Oryctolagus cuniculus: one gene and its partners. The protein of the gene in region 1 purifies or fractionates together with the protein of each later gene. This does not show direct contact. Links are inferred from orthologs where the notes say so. Each region holds a gene or a part of one and is shown in the gene's direction. Other genes may lie near its edges.

Region 1 (4,291 bases):
TTTTCTCCCTGACTCTTCCCAGAAACTGCACTCTCTCCCCTTTAAAGCTGTCTTTCCTGGACTAGAGCAGGAAGCTACCTCGCTACTCCACCATCTCGGCTGACTCGTCTTTTGCTTGGCTTTTTCTGTTTCTGGATTTCTGCTGTGTTCCTTTGGCAGTCAGGGTCCAAAGGAGGTAGACACTACATAATACCTCCAACAGGGGAAGTTTAACATAAAGAATTACTAATTATAATAGGAGATTAAGTGTAAGATATGAAGAACTCTGATATTTGGGACTGAGGAAGAGTACCCAAGGAAGGACAAACTTGGAGGGGTTCAGACCTCAATAGGGAAAGTGAGGTTCAGCCACTAGCTAGCGGTGATGCTGGCTGGGATAAGCCGGGCTGCTCTGGAGTTGCCCCTTCCAAATGCAAGTGGGCAGCTGGCAGTCCGCAGCGAGTGGCATGGGTGTGCACTGGGAGCCCAGTGACACACAGACCCTAGAGGGTGGCAAGTCTCGCTTCACTCATTATTTTGTGGTGGGCTACCCTTTGGGCTACAGCTTGAACATGTGACTGGGGAAGGTTATCAGTACACCGAGTGGGAAGGTCACAGAGGAACCTTATTCTGGACCTGTGGCTGGGCTGGTCTCACATCCTTCCCAGGGTTTAGGAATTACAGCAAGTCTCGCAGTGTGCCTCTAGCGCCCTCTACTGAAAAGGCTCAGTATTGCACGCACTTTTCCTTCCTTGAAGGAATTCCATGGTTTACCATAGACCGTACATTGAAGGATGCATTTAAAATTGAAAGACAGTAGAATGATAAGTGACACAGTTGCATTGGTCGGTCTTTCCATGTGCTGTTATTCAGTATTTTTTATTATTGGAGATTCATAGTGTATTTGAATATCTGTTAATTCTTGCACTGTTACAAATTGATCTTCTCTTCCAATAAGAGTTTTCAAATAAATTTGTCTAATCCTAGAAAAAACACTTTGTGGCAACTGCTAGATGTGAGCCAGGCACGGAGCCAGGAACTCAGTTCAACTCTCCCATGAGGGTGGCACAGACCCAACTACTTGAGCTATCATCTGCCACCTCCCAGGGTGTATCAGCAGGAAGCTGGAAATGGGAGTGGAGCTGAGACTTGAACCCAGGCACTCTGATATGGGAGGGCGGTGTCCTAACTGATGGCTTAACCGCCAAGCCAAACATCCACTACTAATCTTCTGCTTTTTTAAATACTCCTGTAGGATAAGTTCCCATCATGAAAAATTTCCTGTGGTTAACAATAACAACAAAACCAACCAAGAAATACACTAGAAGATGAGTAGTGCACACCGCTTATTCCCACCCCTCTGAGTTAATATTTTCATACACATCTTTCAGGATGTATTTGTAATCCTATTTAGATGTGAATATTTTTAAAATAAAAAAGTTTTAACACTTTTCAGCTGTTGCAACTGCAGGTGTAACTTAGCAATGTCTTTTGCTTCTCTTTCCAGCTATTTTCCCCACCCATGAGCCTTTGAGGATGTTGTAATGTCCCTCCGTGCCTCGTGTTGCAAGGAGTTTATACAGCTGCTACCTAGTCAAGACATGGATATCAAAAACTCACCATCCAGCCTTCACTCTCCTGCCTCCTACAACTGCAGTCAGTCTGTCTTACCCCTGGAGCACGGCCCCCTCTACGTCCCTTCCTCCTACGTAGAGGACCACCACGAGTACCCCACCATGACCTTCTACAGCCCTGCCATGATGAATTACAGCGTCCCCAGCGGCGCCAGTGAGGCGGACCGTGGGCCGGGGCGACAGCCCACAAGTCCAGATGTGCTGTGGCCGACTCCTGGCCACCTGTCTCCTTTAGCCATCCGTTGTCAGTCGTCACTTCTGTACCCAGAACCTCAGAAGCCTTCGTGGTGTGAAGTGCGACCGCTGGAGCACCCCTCGCCTGTGAACAGGTGAGGCCGGCCTTCGTTCTGAGCCGTATTCCGTGGGGGCTCGGCTCCCCTCCCGGTTACCGAGAAGACGGACGTGCGTTCCCAGTGTCTTCATTTATGAGGACCCTTCAGAAAGTTCGTGGAGTGTGTGTGTGGCGCTGGAGTTCACATTTTAATTCCATTGTCCCCTGAACTTTTTGAGCAACTCTCGTAATAAGTCATTCATTACTTGGAGCACCTGAAACGTGATGCACTGTTTTAGTCTTCCTTTTATTTTTTTTTTAAGATTGACTTATTTATTTGAAAGGTAGAGTTACAGAGAGGCAGAGGCAGAGAGAGAGAGAGAGAGAGTCTCTTACCCAGTGGTTTACTCCCCAGTTGGCTGCAATGGCCAGAGCTGGGCCAATCTGAAGCCAGGACTTGAACCCGTATCCATATGGGATGCTGGCTCTACGAGCAGCAGCTTTACCCACTATGCCACAGCGCTGGCCCCATGTTCTCTTCTAATATTCCAGTCCTCATTGAAAAATTGTACTTGTAGGTGAGTGTTGCAGGCACAGCTCACTATTTTGAATGCTGCTGTATTTATATTATAAAAATTATCTTCCTTTTTTCCTAAGTTTGAATACCAAATTTTTTAGTTTTAGGTTAGACTCATAGTGAAATCACAATATAGTGTTCATGAAAAATTGTTCCCAGGATAAAAATAAGTGTGGCAGTACTACAACTTAAAGGAATACTAGCCGCCTGAAACCTGTAAAGACAGGCAATTGGTACAGCTTAAAATTTTTTGAGAGGCAGAGAAAGAGAAGGAGGGATAGGCAGCATCCCTGTATCTGCTCAAATGCTCACAGTGGCAGGAACCAGGCCAGACTGAAGCCGGGAACTGGCAGCTCCATCATGGTCCGCCCTGTAGGTGGCAGTGTCCCACCTGCTGGGGCATCACTGCTGCCTCCCAGAGTGCACATCGGCAGAGAGCTGGAGTGAAGGGCCCAGGCACATCCATGTGGGTGCAGGCATCCGAATTGCTAGGCCAGACGCCCAGCCCATTATAAAGTTGGTGGGAAACCATTTAATATAGACATCATTTGAAATTTCCTGAAGTGGAAAAGAATATTTGTACTCTTTAAATGCAAGGTAAGATGGATTATTTCAGTCTAATAATACTTTCTTTTTTTTTTTTTTTAAAGATTTATTTATTTGAGAGGTAGAATTACAGAGAGAGGGAGGGAGAGACAGAGAGAATGGTCTTCCATCTCTGGTTCACTCCCCAAATGGCCGCAACAGCCAGCTGGTACTGGGCAAGTCTGAAGCCAGGAGCTTCCTCTGGGTCTCCCACGCAGGTGCAGGGCCCAAGGACTTGGGCCATCTTCTGCTGCTTTCCCAGGCCACAGCAGAGAGCTGGACAGGAAGAGGAGCAGCTGGAACTAGAACTTGTGCCCATATGGGCAGGTGGAAACTTGGCCTACAGCCAGAGCGCTGGCCTCAGTCTAATGGGCATTTTCAATGATCGTTGTACCTCTGAAGGGAAGACATTAATGAGGGGAAGAGAAGAGGGAGATGAAATTCTAAAACAGTGAAAGTTAAATGAGAACATGTTGGATATGAAAGTTCATTACTTTCTTTTCTTATTTGAAGGGCGGAGTGTAAGGGAGGGAGGGAGGGAGGGAGGGAGGGAGGGATATATATATAGAGAGAGCTTCCATCTGGTGGTTCACTCCCCAAATGACCACAGTGGCCAGGGCTGAGCCAGGTGAAAGCCAGGAGCTTCATCCGGTCTCCCAGATGGGCGGCAGGGCCCAAACACTTGGGTCATCTTCCAGTGCTTTTCCCAGCCCAATAGCAGGGAGCTGGAGGTGGTGCAGCTGGGACACAGACGGCATTTGCATGAGGTGCTGGCCTTGTAGGTGGTTTTACACGCTGCACCACAAGGCCGGCCCCACGGGAAACTTTTTAAAAGCAGTACTTTAAAAAAATAAAAAATAAAAGCAGTGCTTTTCATTCAGCCTTTAAAGGCAGAAGTATGTTGTTTTGAGCATGAATTCTGATCAAAGTTCTGATATTTGGACAAGCTAAACCAAATGAAAATTACCTTCATTGATCAAACGGTCAACCCTTTATCATACTTTCCAAACGAAATATGCCCTAGCAAAACGAGGAAGTGGCCGGGCTTGGGTCTGGTGCTGCCTGTGCTTCCCTGCTGGGCCGGTTCCGCCGTGGGGCCAGGGCCCGGCCTCTGCTTCACCCACCTGAGCTTTCCCTGGCCAGGCAGCTGCCCGCTTCCTCCCCTCTCTTCTCCTTTCTGCCCTCTCCCCACCTCCCTCTCTTTAACCAGAGTATAGTATTCGTCTCCATGTGACTTGGAGTCCA
Region 2 (3,181 bases), on another chromosome or scaffold:
CAACCTGCTGTACAAGGCGGAGGGCGTGAGGATCCGGGACGACGAGGGCCTGCTGCGGGCGGCCCTGCAGCGCAAGGAGAAGCGGCGGGCCCAGCGCCAGCGCCGCTGGGAGAAGCGCTCGGCCCGCGTGGTGCAGCAGATGCAGCAGCGGCAGGACAAGCGCCGGCAGAACCTGCGCCAGAAGAAGGCGGCCAGGGCCGAGCGGCGCCTGCAGAGGGCCCGCAAGAAGGGCCGCGTGCTGCCCCAGGACCTGGCGCGGGCCGGCCTGGCCTGAGCGGCCTGTGCGGCTGGGGGAGGGGCGAGCTGGGCCCCCCAGGACCTGGCGCGGGCCGGCCTGGCCTGAGCGGCCTGTGCTGGGCCCCGGCCGTCTCCCCTGAGAGCGGAGAGCGCCCCAGACGCTTGCAGGGTGAGGAGGAAGGCCACGTCACTGCCGCCCTCCCCTACCGCGGTCACCGGGCCACGGGACAGGTGCGGGTGTCTTCGGACTGCCCTTTGAGCCAGAAACATGCTCAGGACCAATGAGAAGCCGAAGTGAGAAGTGAGAGTGGCTGGTGGAGCTCGGGGGAGGCCGGAGTCTGGGCGAGGCTGTCCTGGGCCCAGACACCCGGCCCCTGCCCGCTGTTTCCATCTTGGTCTTTGGGGCTCAGTCGCCCTGGGGCAGCATCGCACACGGACGCTGCAGGAGGAGGTGGCCCCTTGGCCACCCTGGGCAGGGCACTGGCCGGAGGCGGAGACGCTGTGCGGGCCTCCCCTGCCCTCTGGAGTGAGGGGCGGGGCAGCTGGTGTCTCAGTGTCTGGGGGGGAAGCCCCGCGCCCTGAGCGGCGCCTCTCCCCACCCCCGTGGTGAGTGCCGCGGGCAGGCGGGTGGTGCCGGGTGTCTCTGACCCTGTTCCCCCTCGTGCGGCTGCACTGTGCGCTGTGTGACGACCAGGCTGGGGCCGGTGTGGCAGCAGGGAAGCCGCCGCCTTGGTGCCGGCGTCCCGTGTGGGTGCCTGTTTGAATCTTGGCCGTTCCGTTTCCAGTCCAGCTCCCTGCTAATGGCCTGGAAAAGCGGAAAATGCCTCAGATTTCTGGGCCCTCACGGCATCCGTGGAGGCCCAGCTGGGGCTCCTGGCTCTGACCAGTGGTTGTGGCCGTCTGGGGGTGGGCCTGCAGGGGGAAGAGCTCTGTAACTCTGACTTTCAAAATAAATAAGTACATTTTTTTTTCTTTAAAAAGTGAGCTGATTCTGCGGCTCTGGGCTCAGCCGCAGGAGGTGGAGGGGTCCGTCCGCCTCTCCTTGGGCGTTCTCTTGAGTCTGTTGCCGTTGAGCCGAGGCCGTGGTCTTGAGTGGCCTCCGCCAGCACAGGCCCAGCGAGGGGCACGAGGACAGCGTTTCTGCCCCGGGCAGGACCCCTCCCCCGCTCAGTGGGTGGGGGTCGTTGGGCCCTCCCTGCACCTGTCGCTCCCCCTCTTCGTGGAGGAACGACACAGGACCCTGCGCTGTTCTTTCGTCTGCTCGGCCCTCCCCGGGTTTGCTGCTGGTTCTTCCCGGGTTGGCTACTATCCCTTCCACCTCCGTGGAAGGGCAGTTCCCCCTGGCCACATTCCCCACTTCCGCAGGGGAGCGGCACACCGCCGGCCGGCTCTTCTCGGGGGCTGCACAGGTGTTCCTTCAGCTAGATGGTCCCCTTAGATGTTCCTCGTGCATGCCGTCTCTCTCCTCCTTTATAGTCCTCCTCCGCCAATCCTAACTCGGCTGCCCACACGCCGAGTACGCTGCTCTCCTCCAATCAGGAGCAAGTCCTACAGTTTATTAGTTGAACTGGAGGCAGCTGTGCGGAAGCTGTTTACTTCTCTCCCAGCGCCATGTTGTGGGGGAGCAGATGCATAGAATAAGTCTTAATCCCAGTAACTCAGTCTAGTCCGGTTTGCTCCCCACAGCACCCATGTTCCCAGCTATGCCCCCAGGAAGCCCGCGCGCCTTCTGTCTGTGCGTTCTGGAGGGAGCAGAGTGCTAGAGGCAGCGCTTCCACCAGATGGCCCAGCGGCTGGAGCCAGGAGCTCCTCCCCTGTCTCCCACGTGGGTGCGGGGCCCACACACCGGGGCCATGTCCTGGCTGCTTTCCCAGGTGCATTAGCAGGAAGGTGGGTCAGAAGTGGAACAGCCAGGACTTGAACCGCTGCCCATGTGGGACGCTGGTGTCGCACATGGTGGCTTTGGCCGCTTGGCCACAGCGCTGGCCCAGGCTGAGTCGGCCAGGGCAGGGACTCAGAGGAAGACAGACAGCCACACTTCACAAGCAAACCTGGAAAACCAAGACGAAGCCCAGATTCGGTGTCCTGTCGGCAGGTCTCAGTGCCATGGAATTGTGCTCGCTGAGGGTTGGACTTCATGCTGTTGAAGGTGAACTTCGAGGAGGAACAGCAGGTTTTAAAAAGTAGTCGGCGTGGCCAGCACTGTGACAGCGCGTGAAGCCGCATCCCACGGGAGCACGGTTCACATCCCAGCCGCTCCACTTGCGACCCAGCTCCCATCCGTCAGGCCTGGGGACAGCGGTGCCAGGGGAGACCCAGATGCGGTCACAGACTCCTGGCTTTGCCTGTCAGCCCCGGCCTTGACTGCCGTTTGAGGAGTGAACCAGGAGTGAAAGCTTTGTAACTGCCTTTCATGTAAATAAATATTAAAAAAAGCAAAGACAGAGGAGCTGTTTTGAATCCAAGTGAATGCCAGCGGCATAAAACCAGGGGCTGTGAATGGTGATTTAAGGGTTTTTTTTAAACCATTTATTTATTTATTTATTTGAAAGGCAGAGTTACACAGAGAGAGGAGCGGCAGAGAGAGAGAGAGTCTTCCATCCACTGTTCATTCCCCCAGATGGCTGCAACGGCTGGAGCTGAGCCGACCCCAGTTGGAAGCCAGGAGCTTCTTGTGGGTCTCCCATGAGTGTGCAGGGGCCCAAGGACTTGGGCCATCTTCTACTGCTTTCCCAGGCCACAGCAGGGAGCTGGATGGGAAGTGGAGCAGCCGGGTCTTGAACCAGTGACCATATGGGATGCCGGCACTGAAGGCAGCGGCTTTAGCTGGTGATGCCACAGCACTGGCCCCGTGATTAATTTTAATTAAGCAAGTACTCGGGTTGTTAGCCATGTGTGAAGTCCTTGGTCGCGCTGGTGGCTGTGCTGTTGGGCTGCACGGAGA
Region 3 (3,500 bases), on another chromosome or scaffold:
GGGTTTTACAGTAACTTGATCCACAAAGTAAAATTATTTGAAATGGTTAAAGGTAATATTTTGGGGATTTTGTTTTTTTTTAAAGATTAATTTATTTAAAGTCAGAGTTACAGAGAGAGGGAGAAACAGAAAGAGGTCTTCCGTCCACTGGCTCACTCCCCAAGTGGCTGCAAGGAAACCATGAGCCAGGATCTTCTTCCCAGTCTGCCACATGGGGGAAGGGGCCCAAGCACTTAGGCCATCTTCCCCTGCTTTTCCCAGGCCAGTAGCAGGGACTGGATCAGAAGTGGAGCAGCCAGGACTCAAACCAGCACTTATGTGGGATGCCAGCATTGCAGGCAGCAGCTTTTCCCACTACACCACAACAACAGCCCCTGTTTTGTTTTTAAATTTTCATGTTTAAAAGTTTTATGTAATTTTTCTGTTTTAATAGTATCATTAAGTATTTTTTCTTACAGAGATAACTTGGAGTGGTTGGCCAGAGCCACTAACTGGGCAAAATTTACTGCCACAGCCAGTTTGGGTGTAATTCATAAGGTAATTCATCCTGATCAGTGGAAAGCAGCGTTAGAAACAGAAGACTGTCTAAGCCATTTTGCAGAAGATGAATTTAAATGTTGTTTTCATGGTCTAAGATGAATTCAGGAAAATGTTACAAAGTAAAGGGAAAAAAAAAGCATGTTCAAAGTGTGTTGAGGTTGATTCGTTTCTGAGAGGAGGAGCGTGGTGGGGGCAAGAGGCGCGGAGTCACCACACAGACCCTGGGAGTCGGGTGAAAGTGGGCCAGAGGGGAGCAGCCCAGACTCGTTTATTTCAGTTGCTACAGCTGCTTATATAGCCAAGGCAGCCAATCTGGTCAAGGGGCGGTCTATGCCCTAAACAAAGCCATCCAATCACAGCCTGTTGCCAGGCAGTTTCTGAAACCATCCAATCACGGCCTGCTGTCAGTCAGGCTCTGTTGTCAGGTGGGATTCAAAGCCATTCCTGAGTAACTGACGCTTACTTGCCAGCAGCCATCTTGGCATGGCCTTCTCATTCCACCGCATGTTCATAGTCTTTTTGTTTTGTTTTGTTTTTTTAAGATTTTATTTATTTATTTGAAAGTCAAAGTTTTACAGAGAGAGAGTGAGCTTCCATTGCCTGGCTTACCCCCCAGAGAGCTACAGTGGCCATGGCTGAGCCAGGCTGAAGCCAGGAGCTTCATCTGGGTCTCTCTTGAGAGTAGGGGCCCAAACAGTTGGGTCATCTTCTGCTGCTTTCTCAGGCCATTAGCAAGGAGCTGGATCTGAAGTGGGACAGTCAGGACATGAACTGGTGCCCATGTAGGGTGCCTGCATCACAGGCAGTGGCTTTACCTGCTATACCACAACATTGGTGCCCTCATAGTTTGTTTGTTTATTTATTTATTTATTTATTTATTTATGTTTTGACAGGCAGAGTGGACAGTGAGAGAGAGAGAGACAGAGAGAAAGGTCTTCCTTTGCCGTTGGTTCACCCTCCAGTGGCCGCCATGGCTGGCAGGCTGCGGCCGGCGCACCGCGCTGATCCGATGGCAGGAGCCAGGTGCTTCTCCTGGTCTCCCATGGGGTGCAGGGCCCAAGTACTTGGGCCATCCTCCACTGCACTCCCTTGCCGCAGCAGAGAGCTGGCCTGGAAGAGGGGCAACCGGGACAGAATCCAGTGCCCCGACCGGGACTAGAACCCAGTGTGCCGGCGCCGCAAGGCAGAGAATTAGCCTAGTGAGCCGCGGCGCCGGCCAGCCCTCAATAGTTTTTCTAATCAGCATGTTCATGTTCTCTAAAAGCCTTTCTCTCACTTGAATGATTAAGTTGTATGGGAGAGAGCCCCACTAGCACCTCTTTAAAAGACAAGTGAACTTACGAAGAAAGGCAGTAATCATAAAAATTGTGACGTCTTTTTTCTCCCTTCTCCATACTGTTATCTTTGTGGCTCAAATTTACAGGGTCATGAAAAGGAAGCGTTACAGTTAATGGCGACATACCTTCCCAAGGACACTTCTCCTGGATCAGCCTATCAGGAAGGTGGAGGTCTCTATGCATTGGGTCTCATTCATGCCAATCATGGTGGTGATATAATTGACTATCTGCTTAATCAGCTTAAGAATGCCAGCAATGATGTAAGTATTGAAATAGAAAACTAAATTTCCATTACTTAAAAGTCCAAGAAAATATGACATTTACCAAAGTATTTTAATGAATAGAGATTTTGTAGGACTTTGGAATATACAAAACAGTACTATTCTCTTAAAGCTGTTGTGTTTTTTAAGATAATTTTATTTCCTTCTCTATAAGCTAAAATTGTGATTCTTGGTCCTTTAAACCCCATGTAAAATAGACATCTTGGAATGTTATAACTGTGTGACTTTGGTTATGTAGTCCAACCCTATCATTGTACTGGAAACTAGCCCTCAAAATTACACATACTCTCTTAGAAATAAAAATTTTTGTTTTTTGAATTTTTTTCCTGAAATTTTTACTTACTGAGAAGCAGAGAATGAGTTCCCATCCTCTAATTTATTCCTCAGGTGCCTCAGATGGGCAGGTTTGGCCCAGGGCCTGAGATAGGAGCTGGAATACAATCTAGATCTTCCACATAGATAGCAGGAACCGAGTTCCTTGAGCTGTCATAGCTGCTGCCCCCAGTCTGCATTGGTAGGAAACCGGAATCAGGATTCCTGCCTGGGAATCAAACCCAGGTTTGATTTGTGGAATGCAAGTGCCTTAAATAGCAGCTTAATTTTCTTTCTTTCCTTTTTTTTTTTTTTTTTTTTTTTTTTAAATATAAGTCTTTTGGAAAAGCTTATTAAGCAACCTTGTCCTTAACTTTAGGGAACCTTAAATAGGATGTTAGACTTTAATTTCCATGTTTGAGTAAACTCTTTTAGAAGACTTATCAGGTGAGCAATTAAGTGAACTAGAAAACCTTATCCTCATATTTTAGTGAAAAGATGGAAGCCAGTAGGATGGTCTGTCTCGGCTAATCTACCTCTCATTAATCATGTGTGTATGGACGCACATCTTTTATTTCCTCTGGTCTTAGGTAAACATTTTATTTCTCTCTTAAAATTTATTTATTTGAAAATCAAGAGTTAAAGGGGCTGGTGCTGTGCTGTAGCAAGTTAAGCTGCTGCCTGTAGCAGCCTGTAGCACCAGCATCCTACATGGGTGCCAGTTGGATTCTCAGCAGCTCCCTGCTAATGTGCCTGGGAAAAGCAGCAGAAGATGGCCTGAGTGCTTGGGCTCCTGCACCTGTGTGGGATACCCAGCAGAAGCTCCTGGCTCCTGGCTTAGGTCTAGCCCTGCTCCGGATGTAGAGGCTGTCTGGGGAATGAACCCGCGGATAGATTTCTCTTTCACTCCCTCTCCCTCTCTAACTCTGCCTTTCAAATAAAATAAATAAATCTTTTAAGACAAAATAAAGAGTTAAATAGAGGGAAAGAGAGAGAGGGAGATCTTTCATCTGCTGGTTTACTTCCCAGA
Region 4 (4,052 bases), about 9.4 Mb from region 1:
GCTAGGACTAGAACTGGTGATCATACGGGATGCGGACATCACAGGCATTGGCTTAACTTACTGTGGAGCAACACCAGCCCCATGGGCAAGAGATACACTTTAAAATGCCAATGAGTGTATTGAGCCAACAGGGAAAGATAAAGTTTCAACAAATACTTACCATCTTTAAAATCCATCCTAATTCCCCACACCATAGGTAACTTCATAACACTGTTTGCCCCCACTGGGGCTATTTGCATTTAAAACTGTGTGAATGGAAGAGCTGGCCCCATACAAACTCTCCATGCTCTCATCCAGACTTCCTGAGGGCCCCATTCCAGAGGTCACGGGTAAGGCTAGCTGCTCTTCTGCTTGAACTATTTTCTGTCTGTGTAATTCTAGTTCCAAGCATGTAACGCTAGATGCTGGGCCTGCTCAGAAATGGAGTGCCTTGGTTTCCACCTAAAAGCATTAAAGAAGAGTTCTCTTTACACCTAAGATTCTAGGCCTGGCAACCTTATTGAGAAAACACTGGAGTTCAAATACCCACGTATTTGCCCTGTTGCACACCCACTTTAACAGCACAACACAAATTGTGTCGCTGAAGAATTGTAGGCTTTCATGTGTTTCATTACAGAAACCTGAACAGGGCGGATTAACCAAATCCCATTTGGACTTAAGGCAGCTGGAAACCTCTTCAAGCCAGCTCAGTTGCAGAGTGGTGGCAAGGCAGAAAACCATATTCCGGTTTCAATTCAAGAGGGCCTTCACGCTATAGTCTCCATTTTAAGATTTCATGACTCAAAAAACCTTCCATTAAAAAAAATTATTCTGTTCCTTAGGTCTTCTCACTACCATATGTCCATGGCGATTGACTTGAGCATCAAGGAGCGCCCTGGCCTTGAGTGAAACCACATGAAGCGCGCAGCACGGAGTCAGGGCAGCCAGGTCTTTTTACAGAGCCCGAGTTTCAATCACTCGTAATCTTCTGGGTACCCGAGGAAAATTCCGGATACAGAAAAGGGTCCAATTTGCTTTAAGAGACTTTTATGGGAACGATGTAAATGATCCGAACTCCACGCCTCAGGAGAAGCAAACGTCTCCAACGGCTACCGCTCCGAAGCACCTGCCGTTCCGCCCCCGACCCCACCCACCGCAGTCTGAGGGTCGCTCTAGGGGTCGCGGTAGGAAGACCCTTGCCCTGCGGAAGCTTCCGGCGCTGGACCCAACAGGGTGTGCACCACAGCCCCATGGGCGGTCCCGGAAGTGACGTAGGGACGCGCCCTCCATTTTGTGGAACGCCAGCGCTACTAAGTGCGTCAGTTGTCGAGAGGCGTAGACGAGTTAAGTTCTGGTCTGCAGGGAGGTTGACGACTCCGTCGCAGACTACGGACCTCTCTGGGTCTCAGCTGCCAAAGATCCTGTCCGGTAGGTGAGTGGCTCACTTTGAGGGCAAGGCTTCTCGGATCGAGGCTTCTCCATGGCCCCTCAGGTCGCGAGTGGTCGGGGCTGCTCTCTTTGCGGAGGACGGCGTCTAATGAACGCAGTTGACTCGAGGTGGGCGCTGGGGCACGTCTCCCTTTTGGTGTTGCTTGAGGGGTAGTGAAGGTGGAGGGGTGGTCATGTTTGCGGTCGTTTGTACACAGGGGTTGCGCGCCCCTCCCTGCCACTCTTGCGGCTTCGTTATCCAGCCGCCCCGAGTCGTGGGCCTAGGCGGCTCTGACTTTTGCTCAGGGTGTGGCGCGGGGGCCACCTGCGGGCGGGCAGAATGAGTCCGGAATGGTGGCACCGGGGAGGGAGAGGGAGAATTTGGCTCGCGCTACTCTGCCCGGCGCTGACTCCGCGGCCGCCATCTTGGGGCCGCCGAGTGCCCGCCCTTCGTTGTGTGCGCAGGCGCGGCCGCGGTCTCGCGAGACGCAGGTTCCCGCCCCCTGTGACGCGCCGGGCCTCTGCCATTGGGCTGGTCTCGCGGAGGGCGGGGTCGGCTCCGCCTGCGGTTCTCGGCCTTTCCTAACTGCGGCAGAAGGGAGGGGGCCGGGGCGTCGCGCGGCGGCGCGGCTGCGCAGTGCGAGAGGTGGCAGTGGGCGTTGCGGTTGCTGCGGTCCGGGGCCCCGGGGGTAGGGGGAGAGCCGGGGGGTCGCGTTGGGAGGCGGCCGTGTTGTCACCCTGCCGGGTAAAAGTTTTAAGCTACGTGTGATGCGTTCGGTGGCTTCTTCCGGCATTCCTCTGCGCCCTTCATTGGTATTGTCTCGATTGATTGATTCTCTGGCAGGAAGCGCTAGCCGGACACCATGAGCGGCTGTCGAGTGTTCATCGGGAGGCTAAATCCGGCGGCCAGGGAGAAAGACGTGGAGAGGTTCTTCAAGGGCTACGGACGGATAAGGGATATTGATCTGAAAAGGGGTTTTGGTTTCGTGGTGAGTATTCAGAACAAGGGTTGTTGAGTGGGTAAAGCTTTGGGTGAGCAGTACCGTGTCCAGGTAGAATATTGTGTCTGCAGCATAAAAGTTAGCGAATTGTCTTAAAGAACCCGCTGGCTGACTGGGATCCCCAGCCGAGTCACCCTCTTGATGAGGTTTATCTGCGTGGTCATGTCTTGATGCTCTGCCTCCCCTCCCCTGCCCTGCTTTTAGTGTTTGTATGTTGTGTCCACACATGCAGCCGCGCTAAGCGTCTTACACTTTATTGTAGGAATTCGAGGATCCCAGGGATGCAGATGATGCCGTATATGAACTTGATGGAAAAGAACTTTGCAGTGAAAGGTGAGAGGTTCTTAGTGCAAAATGGAGCAGACCAAGGCGGCCGGGATGTTATCTTAAACAGGGCTCGCTCCCGTACAGCTTGAGTGTATAACGCGGGCTCGTTCTTGTTTCTGTAGGGTAACTATTGAACACGCTCGGGCTCGGTCTCGAGGTGGAAGAGGTAGAGGACGATATTCTGACCGATTTAGTAGTCGCAGACCTCGAAATGATAGACGGTATGTGATGGGCGGAGGACTGCTGCTGATTCTGGCTACCGGGACTTGGTTTAAGCCTGAGGAACCATTAACAGTAAATGATGCTGGGACTTGAGTCTGGTGTGTTCCTGTGTTAGCTCACTGGTCCTGGTGAGTCTGTAATGAGTCACAGAATAACACAGAAAGTGTTGATGGAAGTCACCTGGTGACTTGTCACGGCTGAGTGTTTGAGCTTGTCCAGGGTTGAACACTAGAAGTGCGCTCGGCACTGCATTGCTTCCATTGTGAATACTCATTTTCTTCCTCAGAAATGCTCCACCTGTAAGAACAGAAAATCGACTTATAGTTGAGAATTTATCCTCAAGAGTCAGCTGGCAGGTTTGTTGAAATACGGTTTTTGCGTTATTTTGATGTGGATTTTTTTAAAAGAAATATTAATGGGTAGCTAATGTTTTATTAATGTTTTAAAATTAAAAGTAATTTTATCTTTAATTAATTTATTTTAATGGAATTGTAATTGTAAAGTTAAATTAATTAATTGTAATTGGGGGATATTTTATTATTAACTAATCAAATGTAAATGTTTTGAGGATATTTTTCTTGTTTTGAAAAATCAATTTTAACCAAATATTAAACCCTTTATTTGCCAGCCTATCTGTGTCGTTGGCCTTATGACGAGGAGTGCCTGTGGGTTATCCTAATCGTTGTCTTGGTCACTCTTGGTTGGGCCTGGTTGACTTTGCCAGTCAGCTCCTACAGTGATCAATTGGCCACCTCTAGATCTGTGTTTGCCGGTCTAGACGTAATCGGTGCACTTCCTTGAAGTGCCAGGTTGCAGCGATCCCAGAGCGTTGATAACGTGATCTGATCCCTAAGTTGAAAGCTGTCTTCCTGTAACGCTTCCGAATAAGAGGTCCTGGTCGAAAAGAGTTGAAAGATACGCAATTAGGTGTTCGTTGGCGTCCTGATCGCAGTGCAGTGGTCCTTGGTAACTGCTCAAGAGTAGAACATGTCTGCATCGCCAGTAGTCCGCTGATAGGGAGGGGCTGTGCGATTAAAGGCTTCCAGCGATTGGGTAGTATCCTTCAAGTGGGTGGCGAAGAGCCAGTCGGGCCTA
Region 5 (4,158 bases), on another chromosome or scaffold:
GAGGAGCATTGTATAGTCTATCTGGCCAATACCATCAAACTATCAAGATCATCAGAGACAAGAAACAGCTGAGAAACTGCTACAGCCAAGAGGAATCTAGAGAGATGTGACAATTAAATGTAATATGGGATCCAGAAGTACACAAAAAGTCTGGTAATAATAACAATAATAATAGAAGACACAGCATCTCCAACCCCTTCAGGCTTCATGGTGCATTTTCTTGGCGCTTTGCTTTTCTGACTCTCATCCGTTGGGGGCACTTAAGTCGCACCCAGGACTCGTGGGGCTCATCCCCTCCTGCTCCCTTTCCGGGTTTCCCAGGCCTCTGATCCGCACCGGCTACGGTCAGCTCATCACTCTCAGGGCTTCGTTAGCTACCGTTCTTCCGGCGGGCTCCAGATCCTATTCGGTTCAGACCACGGTTCACCCAGCTCTGTTACACAGCGCCCCCTAGACATCCACTTCAGCACGTCCAGACCCAAACCCCGATTCTCTACGAACCGCAAGGACTGACAGAACCCTGGGCTATCACCCGCCTAACAAGCGGACCCCAAATTCTGTTAACGCCCCCTGCGTAGGGTTCTCGTGCTGCGATCACCTCTCCAGCCCTCAGTGCTGAACCTGTGGGCTCCCTGCCTTCAGGGGTCTCCATTTCCCTCTCTCCGTCTTTCCTTGCTTCATTCCTTTCTTTTTTCCCGTCTCTCTCCTGTAAAGGGAAAATGCATTTCCATGATTCCCGTCCACTGCAATCTCTCACTAAGAATTGGTTTTCTCTACCTCGAGGGGCTGTGAGTGTGCGCTTAGGTGTTGATTTACACCTTTTTGTGTTTGAGACACAAGCACTATTAAACACTGTCAGTTATCACAATCTATTTAAAAAGGTTAACATAGTAAGGGGACAAATCTTGTTTAAACAGAACCCCAGCCATTAACCCAGTTTAGTTGGGTCTAAGCAATGACACAAGGAACACATTTGAAAGAGGTGACGGAAAAGGTTAAGTAAAGATGGCTGTAGGACCCAAGTAACTTGGGACCTGAAAAGTGAGAGGGTGGAAAGAAGTAAAGCTTTCAACAGTGAAGGAAGGAAAACGGAAACCACAATTTCTGGGGAAGGTGATGCAATAAAGGAGTACCAGTCCCAACGAGCCAGCCAGGAGTCGAACCTGGAATCTTCTGATCCGTAGTCAGACGCGTTATCCATTGCGCCACTGGCCCTGAGACAATCGCGCTGGGCTCTGTAATGATTCTTCAAGCTTACAATGCAGGGTTTCATGGGACGTGTAGTCCCTCGGCGGCATTCGGCGGCTGCACAAAGCATTCTGGGAGATTCGGGTTCGTCACGAACCAGACCCTGAGATTGGTAGATCTGCAGGAGCCACGCCGTACGTCACGGTGCAGCCCGCGGATTGGCGGGAAGAGTCACTCTCCACCCCTCCGTCTCTTGCTCCGGAGCTGTGGAGGACGCTCTGGTTGTTAAGGCGACTCGTCCCGCCTTCTCGGGGCCTGGTTCAGCGTGTGATTGGTTGCTAATATCAAGGAATCCCGGCGTGGAGAGCGCGAGGGAAAGATGGCGGCGATGGCGGTCGGGGCTGCCGGTGGGAGCCGCGTGTCCAGCGGGAGGGACCTCAATTGCGTCCCCGAAATAGCTGACACACTGGGGGCTGTGGCCAAGCAGGGGTGAGGGCCAGACCTTCGCGGGCGGAATGCAGGGTCCGAACTCGAGGACGGAAAAGGGCAGGCTAGTCATCCCCGAGAGGCAGGGGTGAAGGGGCCGGATGGGACGAGGGCGTGAGAAACCCCATTACTCCTGAGAGGAGCAGCTTCGGCCCGGCGGGTGGAAAGTTAGGGGAGTCGTGTGGCCTCTTAGTCCAGAAGTCGGGGGAGTTGTCGGGGATACAAAAAGGGGGCATACAGCCAATCCCCTAGGGCTCCGGGGGTAAAATGAGTATGCGGGAGTAGGGGGAAGTGTTGGGGGCAAAGGCGAGAGGAGGTTCATGTGCAGGGAGGGTAGGTGTAGGTAGCCCTGGGGCAGCTCTGAACATCACAGTCCTGGAAAGCCAGTGACCCCAGAGTAGAGAGAATGCTACTTGGCGTGGATTTCCGTCGTTTTCCCTTACTCATCTTTTCCCTGCCTGTGTTTTGGGGGAGAAATTGAGGCACGGTGCAGGGAAGTGGTATGTCCCAGGATGGGCTGCAACCAGGAGCCAGCGCGGTGACTGGTGGCATCTGAAAGGGCTGTGCGCAGTTGAGGTAGCCTAAGTGCAGTGCTTGGCTCTCTTTACATGATGATTCTGGGTCTGTCGCGGTTGTAGGTTTGATTTCCTCTGCATGCCTGTCTTCCACCCGCGGTTCAAGAGGGAGTTCACTCAGGAACCTGCTAAGAATCGGCCGGGCCCCCAGACACGATCAGACCTACTGCTGTCAGGAAGGGGTAGGGACCATCCCATATGCCCCTTAATTGTTAGCAGCAGTAACAACCTCTGCTTTATCAGAGCCCTCGTTCTCCTCCTTTTCTGACTTGGATATATTGGATAGCCCCTGGGATCTAGGGAATTCTCGTTTTCTCCTTGCTTATTTGCTAAAAGCCTTAGTTGCCTATTCTGCATCAGACTATCCCATGTCTGTGGTGGAAAATGCCTTTGTCTCTCATCTCTATTTTCTGTTCCCTACCAAGAACTAGAAATTGAACCAGTACAGTACTGAACCTCATTCAGTTTTTGTCTTTCCCGGGTGGGGGAGTGCAGACTGGAATACGCTAATTGTGGGAAAGCTCTCTCCATGGATCCGTCCAGACTCGAGAGTGGAGAAGATCCGCAGGAACTCGGAGGCGGTAAGACAGTGTTTGACCTCTCCTGGAGCGTTCTAAAGATGACCTCTGTACCCGAGCTGGGTGGGAGAGCGTTTTTCCCTTCCATCAGTTACAAAATCAACTAACAGAATGCAATGAAAGCTATTTGGAGGTTAGCTCTTAACATTTTCCTCCCGTTCTCCATTCCAGGCCATGTTACAGGAGCTGAATTTTGGGGCGTATCTGGGTCTTCCGGCTTTCCTGCTGCCCCTTAATCAGGAAGATAACACAAACCTGGCCAGAGTTTTGACCAACCACATCCACACTGGCCACCACTCCTCCATGGTATGGTCGAGGGTCTCTTTTTCCCACTGCATATCATGGTAGTCAGGCTCTGTGCGGGAGCTTCTTGGGCCTGCCAGTCAGTGAAGCGGGAATTTGGCAGAATGGAAATTATTGCTCACTCCCCTGCTAACAGACAGTTTCACAATATCTCATTATTTCTTGAAACTTTACAATTGAAACACAAGGCAGATTTTTTTTTTAAGGGAGGTAGAGTTACAGAGAGAAATATCTTCCATCTGCTGGTTCACTCTCCAAATGGCCGCAGCTAGGCTGATCCAAAGCCAAGAGCCAGGAGCTTCTTCCAGGTCTCTCAAGCACTCGGGCCCTCTTCTACTGCTTTCCCAGGCCATAGCAGAGAGCTGGGTCGGAAGAGGAATGGCTGGGACTAGAATCTGTGCCCATATGGAATGCCAGCACCTTAGACAGAGGCTTAGCCAGCTACAGCACATTGTTGGCCCCACAAGGCAGATATTTGCTTAAGGATATATACAGGATACATGTACAAAATCACAAATTGGGAAAACCATCTAAAGGGGTTAATTTGAGATCTGGATCAAGGTCTTTTTAATTGTGAGATGGTTATTGGACCCAATGAGTTCAAGAGCGAGTTCTAAAAGGGCACCTGTTGATGTGCAGTTCTGGATGCGTGTGCCCTTGGTGGCACCGGAGGACCTGAGAGATGATATAATTGAGAATGCACCAGCTCCACACTCAGAGGAGTACAGTGGGGAGGAGAAGACGTGGATGTGGTATGTCTCCTTTTGCTACTACTCCAGAGCAAGGGGCAGGGTGAAGGGAAGTACGGGTAGAGCCTGTCGGGAAGTCTCCTTGAGCTGTGGTGATTGGTGGGCCACACATATGTGTGTTTTTCTGTATCCAACTCTGGGCAGGTGGCACAACTTCCGAACTTTGTGTGACTATAGCAAGAGGATTGCAGTAGGTGAGTCTACAAGGGTCCTGGGATAAGTGTCCTTCCTGTGGCGTCTGTGCACAGCACTCAGCAGTTTTGTCCATAGTGAGCAAGC
Region 6 (4,285 bases), on another chromosome or scaffold:
GAATGCAAGCTTTAGCCATTCGGCAAGGCACATGTTTTTCAGACTTAAATGTTTATTAGCATATTCCAATCTTTCTGTCTGCAAATTATATACCCAATATTAACATACAACAGTGTCTTTGCTCCCGAACTCAAAGGTTATATAGGAAATTCAGTGCTGTGGTGCAAGTGTTGCCTCTAGAGGTGGGAAACATACTGTATTCTAGTGAAAGACTAACACTGTAACATGGATGTAAGGAATTTTTTTAAACCTTTCAGATGAACTTGAAATACGAATTTCAGAAAAGAAAGAAAAAAATCTGAGCTCCTAACCCTAATTTCACTACTTAGTTGATATATAGTGCTAACATATAATTGTATAAATTTTGCTTCCTTATACTTATTTTCTACTTAGATTTTTACTTATGAAGATCCCCTAATTAAAAAAAATTTTTTTTACGATGTGTAGGAACTACGGTTTAAAGGCATTTATTTTAAGAACTTGAATTCTTGTTTCCCAAATGCTAGCTCATGGATCTCTGCCAATTTCCGATGAAATTTTCATTTGTCCAAAGGGTAACAACAGCAAGAACGGGGTGAGCTTCCCTTATGACTAAAGGCAGTCCATTTAGGGAACTACTCTGTATTGTGAAATTATGCCATTTGTACCTTCCTACTGTGAAACCGTTTTTTGCTTGTTCGTTTAAATGCTGTTGATAGTGGCCGCCATGTATTTGCTTGGCAACTTTGTGTGACCCCAGGTTTTCTGTGTGTGGGCAAATGGAAGCGCCTGGAAACCCTTTTGAGGGAGGCTGACTCTGCCGTTTAATACGGATTTCGAGGAGCCGTGTCAGAGGGGCACAGGTATGCGCACCTCCATTCAACCGCCACTCCGTTCGGCTAGGGCTGCCAGTAAGTAAGGCTTGGTGGTAACGCTGGAGGGAAGGCGACGCGCCCGCAGGCCTGCAATCATTCAGCGTGGAAACGCGTGCGCCGAGACCCCAGTGTGGCCGGGCAGGTGTCGGAGGCGGCCCTGCACCTGCGGGAAGTTGGAGCGGGGTGGGGGGAAAGCCTTGCGGGGAAAGCAGGCAAGCAGGCACCCAGGGCCGCGGGGCACCTTCCAGCGGAAGGGAGCGCGGAGGTTGGAGAACCGCGAATTCCGAACAGGAACGAGGCAGGTGCTGCCGACTGCCCTAGCCCCCCGGCGCCCCTCCACTGCAGGTCTCGGTGCGGCCAAAGCCGCTTCCAGGTGCAGCGAGGCGCACGGGCGGGAAGGGTGCGTCAACGAGCCACCACGGCGATTTGCAGCAAGATTAGGGTCTGGGAGTGAACAGACAGAAAGAGGCCGAAATAAATGACCCAGGACCCCTCCCGCTGCGGAGCGCGCGGGCCGGGGACGGTGTCGGACACGCCCCGCGGATCCCACGCGTCCAATCACCGACGAGCAGCCTCGGCCCGTAGGAAACACCCCTTGTGCTTTAAAGGCCCCACAACTTCTTCCTCTGAGAGGCTCGGGACCGCGGCGCGCATTGGCGCATGCGCAGCCCCCAGGCCCCGCCCCTCGCCCCTGACGCCCGGGTTTCCCACGACCAACATGGCGGCTCCCTGTGTGTCCTGCTGCGGCGCGCTGTGCTACCGCCTCTTTATCGGGAGTAGGGTTACCCTCGCCCCCAGGCAAGGCTTCTGGAAAACTGCGGCCGCTGAGTTTCAGAGAGGTGCTGGATCCCAGGTAAGGCGTTGGGAGAACTGGGAGCGGTGGTCCCGGTACCGTGGGGAGGTGAAGCCGGCGCCTGGCGTGCTTCTGGTCGGGACCCTGGAGGCTTGAGGTTGGGGGTGCGGAGGTGGGTGCTGGCTTGCAGCTGCCGCTCTGAGATTTGCTTCTGGTTCTTGCGGAGTGTCATGAGAGCAAGTTACCTGCAGGCGAGGCGGAGCGACCCCTGACTCGACTGGGGCTGCGGGGCTAAGGGGTCAGTGCCGAAAGTGGGCTGTTGGGTCCGGTCCTTCGGGCGTGCCCGGGACCCGAACACTAGAGCGGAACGGGGATTGCAGAGAATGCTGTTAAAAAAATGCCTTTGCATCTGGGCGTTTTCTGTTTTAATTTCCTCTGAGAGACCACAGTTGGTACACTCCCCTTAATCCTGAGGGCAGTGGCCAGCCAAGACGCTCCCTCGCCAGTTAACGGACATGGGATCTCAGGAGGAGGAAGAAATTTGAGAAGCAAGACAGTGAGTTTCATTTGGGGGTATAATTGCGTTCAAGGCATCTGTGGGATCTCCAATTGGAGATTCCCAGTAGACCAGTAAATCGACAGGAAGATAATTGACTTGGAAGTCCTCTGTTACCTTGTAGGTGGTTGGTGAGTCCTTGGAAATGGATTGGACCAGTTTGGGAGAGGGCACTGAGTGAGGAGTAGGCAGAGGAGTAGAGCTTTGATGGACAAACAGGTCAAAGGTCAGGCCCCAAGAGATTGAGAATAAGCTGCGCAGGACAGGGGAGAACCACATATTTGTCATGGAGAACAGGACAGTGTTTCCTGGATGGAGAGTGATAACCAGTACCAGCTATTGCATAGAAGTAAGCTACTGTGTTCTAAAAACTATACTGAATCTTTTTTTTCCTTTAAATTTGAGTTGTAAAGAGACAGAAAGGGCTCCGTCCCCCAGCTCATTCTCTAAATGTCTGCAGTGACCCCAGCTGGGACAAAAGCCTGTGGGCAGGAACTGACAAGTATCCCACATAGGTAGCAGGGGCCCAGCGCTTTGAGCCAGTGCCTGCTGCCTCCCATGGTGAACACAGCAGAAACTGGATTCTGGAGGAGATGCAGGACTTGGGCCGAGGTGCGCCTGTGTGGGGTGCAGGTGTCCCTACTGCTTGGTCAAATGCCTCCCCCCAGAATACCATCTTTTTCAGTGTGCTTTTTTTTTTTTAGGTTTTAACTTAAATCAACCAATCCATCCATTCTTTTATCTGTCAAACATTTGGGTTTGTTTGCTGGAAAATGTGCTGGAATTTCTTATTTCATTTACATGAAAGGCAGATGGACAGAAAGAGAGACAGATCTTCCATCTACTGGTTGACTCCACAAATGGCTACAACAGTTAAACCTAGGCCCAGCAGAAGCCAGGAGCCTGGAACCCCATCCAGGTCTCCCATGTGGCTGGCAGGGGTCCAGGTACTTGGGCCATCTTGTGTTGCTTTCGTAGGCACATTAGCAGGGAGCTGTATTGAAAGCAGAGTAACTGGGACTAGAACCTGCATTCAGATTTGGGGTGCTGCCTTGCACTGGCATCTTAACCTGCTGTGCCACAAGGCTGTCCCAGCTTTTTTCTTGTCTTTTCTTCTTAAAATTGTGCATCTTTTTGAGTATATCTTTTCTATGTACATATAATTATATGAAAGGGCCTGTAGAATGCAGAATATTTTTATTGTTGACAATTCATGCAGAGGTAGAGGAGGCTAATTTTCCCTCCCCTGAACTTCAAGCGTACATAGCTAACCTTCATTGCCTTTCTGCATGTTTTTATCATTATATGCAAACCTACATGAACATATGCTGATGCAGACCTTGATACAAAGCTGTGATGGCTCCAGCAATTGGGTTCCTGCCACCCATGTGAGAGTCCTAAATTGAATTCCTGGGCTGCTGGTTCGGGGCCCAGCCCATTCCTGACCATTGTGAGCATTTGGGGAGTGAACCAACAGATAGAAATATGCACCCTCTCTCTCTGGCCCTAACTTCTTGCTTTGTCTCTCTGCCTCTCAGATCAATCAATTTTAAAAAAATGGAATATATTGGATTGCATTCTACTTTTTGCTCTTCCAGCTTACATATATCGTAGAAATACTTCCAAGTCACTTAATGTGTGTCTAAAGCATTTTTAAATTGCCCAATATTTTGTGGCATGAATATATCACAATTAATATAACAGGTGATGGGCATTTGCTCCATGTAGATTTCTTTCCATGAAGAGTGTTGCAGTAAACATCCTGGTCCAGTTCTTAGGAGCTGATGCTTTTATTTCTGTGGGAGAGATTTCCACTTGGGAAGTTACTGCTGCCAAGATGCATATATCCTGAATTTTAATAGAAATTTCCATATAGTTTTTTGAAAAGACTAAAGCAGTTCATCTTTCATCATTGATGTATGATGATTTCCTCCTTTCTACTACATTAGGTTTTATTTGTTATTACTGCAATAAGATGGATAAAGAATGATTTCTTCTTGTTAAATTTTTAAAAAAGATTTATTTAATTTAAAGAATTGCAGAGACAGAGCGAGATCTTCTATTCGCTGGTTCATTCCCCAG
Region 7 (3,500 bases), on another chromosome or scaffold:
TATTGTGGGAGAGCAGATGCATAGAATAAGTCTTAATTCCAGTAACTTAGTCTAGTCCGAGTTGCTCCCCACACTTGCTCATTAATGTTTTAGCAGTATTTTAGCCTGTACTGCATTTGCATGGTAATAACCAGTGTATATACTTCCTACCACGTTGAGAAGATGGGAGAGATACAGGTGCTAGAGAGGCTTAGAAGTTGTAATGGATGACAAAATGCATATGAATCTATAGATTAACATTTACTTTTATCATTTGTGAGGGTTAAATCTGAGTACTTAATATAGTTTTGGTTTGGCCGGTGCCTTGACCCACTAGGCTAATCCTCCACCTGTGGCGCCGGAACCCCGGGTTCTAGTCCCGGTTGGGGCGCCGGATTCTGTCCCGGTTGCCCCTCTTCCAGGCCAGCTCTCTGCTGTGGCCAGGGAGTGCAGTGGAGGATGGCCCAAGTGCTTGGGCCCTGCACCCCATGGGAGACCAGGAGGAAGCACCTGGCTTCTCCTGCCTTTGGATTGGCGCAACACGCTGGCCATAGCAACCATTTGGGGGTGAACCAACGGAAGGAAGACTTTTCTCTCTCTCTCTCTCTCTCTCTCTCACTCTCTCACTCTCTCTCACTGTCTAACTCTGCCTGTCCAAAAAAAAAAAAAGTATATATGTATAGTTTTGGTTTACATGTAGTCCTTGTTAATTGGCTCATGTTGCCTTAAACTCAAGAAACACTTTACATATAATCTCTTTGTTTTTTTTCTATTTCAGGTTGTTTTGTCTAAGTTTGTTAGGCAAATGGGTGACTTGTTGCCTCCAACTATTTATATCCCTTATTTGAAAATGCTGCGAGGATTGGCCAGCGGGCCTCAGTGTGCCCACTACTGTTTCAGCCTACTCAAAGTCAATGGTAGTAGCCATGGTAAGGAAGAGCTACATGTTGTTTGATTTTCCAGTCTTTTTTTTTTTCCTCTCATTTTAAAAATACTTATTTGAAAGGCAGAGTGACAGAGAAAGAGATCTTTTAATCTCTGGTTCACTCACCAAATGTCCATAGCGCTAGCTCTGGGTCAGGTTGAAACCAGGATCTGGGGATTCCATCCTGATCTCTCACATGAGTGGCAAGAACCCAAGCACTTGGGCCATCATCCTCTGCCTTCACAGATAGGTTAGTGGGAAACTGAACCAGAAGAGTGAACAGCTGGAACTTGAACCAGCACTCTGGTACGGGAGGCTGCAGGGGGTGTGCTGCTGGGGATGGCTTTGTGTGGTATACCACACTCTGTTCAGTCGGTTTTGTTTTTTAAGATTGATTTATTTATTTCCAAAGCAAAGTTACAGAGAGGCAGAGAGAGAGAGAGAGAGAAGTCTTCCATCCGCTGGTTCACTCCCCACATGGCTGCACAGCCAGAGCTATGCTGATCCAAAGCCAGGAGATTCTTCTGGGTCTCCCACAGGAGTACAGGGGCCCAAGCACTTGGGCCATCTTCCACTGCTTTCCCAGGCCATAGCAGAGAGCTGGAGTGGTAGTGGAATAGCCGGGACTCGAACCGGCATCCATGTGGGATAGCGGCAGCTTTACCCTCTATGCCACAGCGCCGGCCCCTGTTCTTCACTCTTGAGTTCAGTACCCCAATTACCTTTTAAAGAATATTGGTGATTTTTTGTGAGGTTCTTTCAGGCCATGTATATAAGGTGTATATGAAATATCATTGGATGTTGTGTTTAGATTGGGCCCTATTCCTCAGTTATCTCATTGTATATGTACAGATATTCCAGAATTTTAAAAATAAATCCAAAATCTGAAGTATGTCTGGTCTTAAGCATCTTGAGTAAAGGATGCTCAACGGGTATATACATTTTCAATAATAAATCTAGTGTACAAAGTATGTGTACTTGTGACCTATCTTTGATTTCTTTAACTTTTAGGTGTTTATTGTCTTTTTCTTTTTTTGTTAGTATTTAAGAGTCTTTTCTTGACCAATTTTTCCTCATTTGCTTTTCAGACTTTTAAGTCTGGTTAAGCCAAAAATGCTGCAAAAGAAGAACCATACCTGCTTTGTTAGGTGGATATTATTTTCATTTTTACATGTGAAGAAGTGGAGGATTAGAGAAGTTAAGTAATTATTCTAGGGCACAGGTATTTAAAGAGCCGCAAGTGGAACTGAGCTGTCTTTGACTCCAAAGTCAGTGTGCTGACACTCTGTCAAGGCCTGGCTTATGTGCTATGGTTTTGCTCCCAGCTTGGTATGTAGTGGAGTAGTAGAATTCACAAACCTAGGCTGTAGTTACCTCTTTTTTGGGGGGGAATTCAAGCTCATCATTTGTGAATTATCCTGTGGAAAAATAGCCCTGTTTAGTTACAGAGAACTCCCCTGAATATGAAGCAGGTAATGGGCTTGTCAGGCAGTTTACCTTTACATATATGTGTCCCTATTCTTAGCTCTGAGCAGAAATTCAAGTTCTAAGTTACAGAGGAATTCTAGCCTATGTAGTACAAAGATTGCCTTGATGCTAAGACACAGATAAACAAAATTTATACTTTTATATAAATCCTCATTTCCAAGCATATGTGTAGGGATTCTTGAGAGAATTCTGTGCTTTTCTTTACAGTTGAAAATATTCAGGGTGCAGGTGGCAGCCCTGTTTCTTGGGAGCATTTCTTTCACTCCTTAATGCTTTACCATGAGCACCTCCGGAAGGACCTCCCGAGTGCGGATAGCGTCCAGTACCGCCACCTGCCTTCTCGTGGCATCACCCAGAAGGAGCAAGACGGGTTGATCGCTTTCTTACAGCTCACGTCCACCATCATTACTTGGGTAGGTAGCCCCTCCATGGCAGCACTCTCTGTATTCTAGCTCAGTGGCATGGTAAAGGGCCAACATCTTTTACTGCTTAAAGTTTATAAGTGATACAATTAGCATATCATTAGCATTCTGTCTTTAAGTTTTTTGTTTATTTGCCCTCTAAAGGGAATAAATTATTATAGCTTTACTTACTGGCCTAATATTAGGATGAAAGTAATAACCTGAGCCTGACGGAAAAAAAGGGCAAATAAGAATTAGTTATTGCATGCACCTTCTTCCAGAAAGTTTGCTAGCTTGGTTGTGAGCATATACGTGTGGGATGGGTGTATGAATATTTATATAAAGAAAAGTTTTAATTAAAAAGTTATGTACTGAAATTAATTTCTTCTCTCACACCTAACCATTTTGGTTACTTCTATCAAATTACCTTTGTAAAAAAACATTATTTTGATTCCATAATTTTCCAACTCAGAAATCTCATATTTATTTTTATTGTTTGCTAAAACAAACTTATATTGCTTAACTTTGCATTCTCTCTGAAGGATAAGCATAGTGTCTTCTCACTTATTAATTTTTCTAATGATGCTTAATAGTGTTTAGTAGTCATTTCTCATTGAATTAAAAGGGCCCGATACTAAAAAGTAGAAACGACAGAGTAGTTATTCATTTGTACATTATAGTATAGTATAATATGTACTTTATAATGT

The links.
Region 2: the proteins of ESR2 (region 1) and SURF6 purify together in Homo sapiens (affinity purification with mass spectrometry; 3 studies listed by BioGRID and IntAct, with this or other methods). This does not show direct contact. The link is inferred for Oryctolagus cuniculus from reciprocal best matches to the Homo sapiens genes ESR2 and SURF6.
Region 3: the proteins of ESR2 (region 1) and PSMD1 purify together in Homo sapiens (affinity purification with mass spectrometry; 3 studies listed by BioGRID and IntAct, with this or other methods). This does not show direct contact. The link is inferred for Oryctolagus cuniculus from reciprocal best matches to the Homo sapiens genes ESR2 and PSMD1.
Region 4: the proteins of ESR2 (region 1) and SRSF5 purify together in Homo sapiens (affinity purification with mass spectrometry; 3 studies listed by BioGRID and IntAct, with this or other methods). This does not show direct contact. The link is inferred for Oryctolagus cuniculus from reciprocal best matches to the Homo sapiens genes ESR2 and SRSF5.
Region 5: the proteins of ESR2 (region 1) and PRMT5 purify together in Homo sapiens (affinity purification with mass spectrometry; 3 studies listed by BioGRID and IntAct, with this or other methods). This does not show direct contact. The link is inferred for Oryctolagus cuniculus from reciprocal best matches to the Homo sapiens genes ESR2 and PRMT5.
Region 6: the proteins of ESR2 (region 1) and MRPS9 purify together in Homo sapiens (affinity purification with mass spectrometry; 3 studies listed by BioGRID and IntAct, with this or other methods). This does not show direct contact. The link is inferred for Oryctolagus cuniculus from reciprocal best matches to the Homo sapiens genes ESR2 and MRPS9.
Region 7: the proteins of ESR2 (region 1) and NUP205 purify together in Homo sapiens (affinity purification with mass spectrometry; 3 studies listed by BioGRID and IntAct, with this or other methods). This does not show direct contact. The link is inferred for Oryctolagus cuniculus from reciprocal best matches to the Homo sapiens genes ESR2 and NUP205.

The regions. Positions count from the first base shown.
Region 1 is NC_091451.1:6,167,694-6,171,984, forward strand, and holds the start of ESR2 (estrogen receptor beta), read left to right. Parts: upstream 1-1,491; 5' UTR 1,492-1,523; coding exon 1,524-1,942; intron 1,943-4,291.
Region 2 is NC_091432.1:235,363,650-235,366,830, reverse strand, and holds the end of SURF6 (surfeit locus protein 6), read left to right. Parts: coding exon 1-250; coding exon of another isoform or gene 251-274; exon of another isoform or gene 275-319; coding exon 320-343; 3' UTR 344-2,681; downstream 2,682-3,181. UniProt on the Homo sapiens protein: Binds to both DNA and RNA in vitro, with a stronger binding capacity for RNA. May represent a nucleolar constitutive protein involved in ribosomal biosynthesis or assembly.
Region 3 is NC_091434.1:8,119,332-8,122,831, reverse strand, and holds part of PSMD1 (26S proteasome non-ATPase regulatory subunit 1), read left to right. Parts: intron 1-458; coding exon 459-537; intron 538-1,963; coding exon 1,964-2,137; intron 2,138-3,500.
Region 4 is NC_091451.1:15,600,881-15,604,932, forward strand, and holds the start of SRSF5 (serine/arginine-rich splicing factor 5), read left to right. Parts: upstream 1-1,252; 5' UTR 1,253-1,536; intron 1,537-2,251; 5' UTR 2,252-2,270; coding exon 2,271-2,396; intron 2,397-2,670; coding exon 2,671-2,741; intron 2,742-2,857; coding exon 2,858-2,956; intron 2,957-3,243; coding exon 3,244-3,313; intron 3,314-4,052. UniProt on the Homo sapiens protein: Plays a role in constitutive splicing and can modulate the selection of alternative splice sites.
Region 5 is NC_091443.1:52,081,992-52,086,149, forward strand, and holds the start of PRMT5 (protein arginine N-methyltransferase 5), read left to right. Parts: upstream 1-1,358; 5' UTR 1,359-1,567; coding exon 1,568-1,677; intron 1,678-1,703; coding exon of another isoform or gene 1,704-1,762; intron 1,763-2,312; coding exon 2,313-2,431; intron 2,432-2,744; coding exon 2,745-2,830; intron 2,831-2,998; coding exon 2,999-3,133; intron 3,134-3,769; coding exon 3,770-3,882; intron 3,883-4,023; coding exon 4,024-4,073; intron 4,074-4,158. UniProt on the Homo sapiens protein: Arginine methyltransferase that can both catalyze the formation of omega-N monomethylarginine (MMA) and symmetrical dimethylarginine (sDMA), with a preference for the formation of MMA.
Region 6 is NC_091433.1:103,559,594-103,563,878, reverse strand, and holds the start of MRPS9 (small ribosomal subunit protein uS9m), read left to right. Parts: upstream 1-1,485; 5' UTR 1,486-1,572; coding exon 1,573-1,707; intron 1,708-4,285.
Region 7 is NC_091434.1:171,397,587-171,401,086, forward strand, and holds part of NUP205 (nuclear pore complex protein Nup205), read left to right. Parts: intron 1-757; coding exon 758-908; intron 909-2,599; coding exon 2,600-2,805; intron 2,806-3,500. UniProt on the Homo sapiens protein: Plays a role in the nuclear pore complex (NPC) assembly and/or maintenance. May anchor NUP62 and other nucleoporins, but not NUP153 and TPR, to the NPC.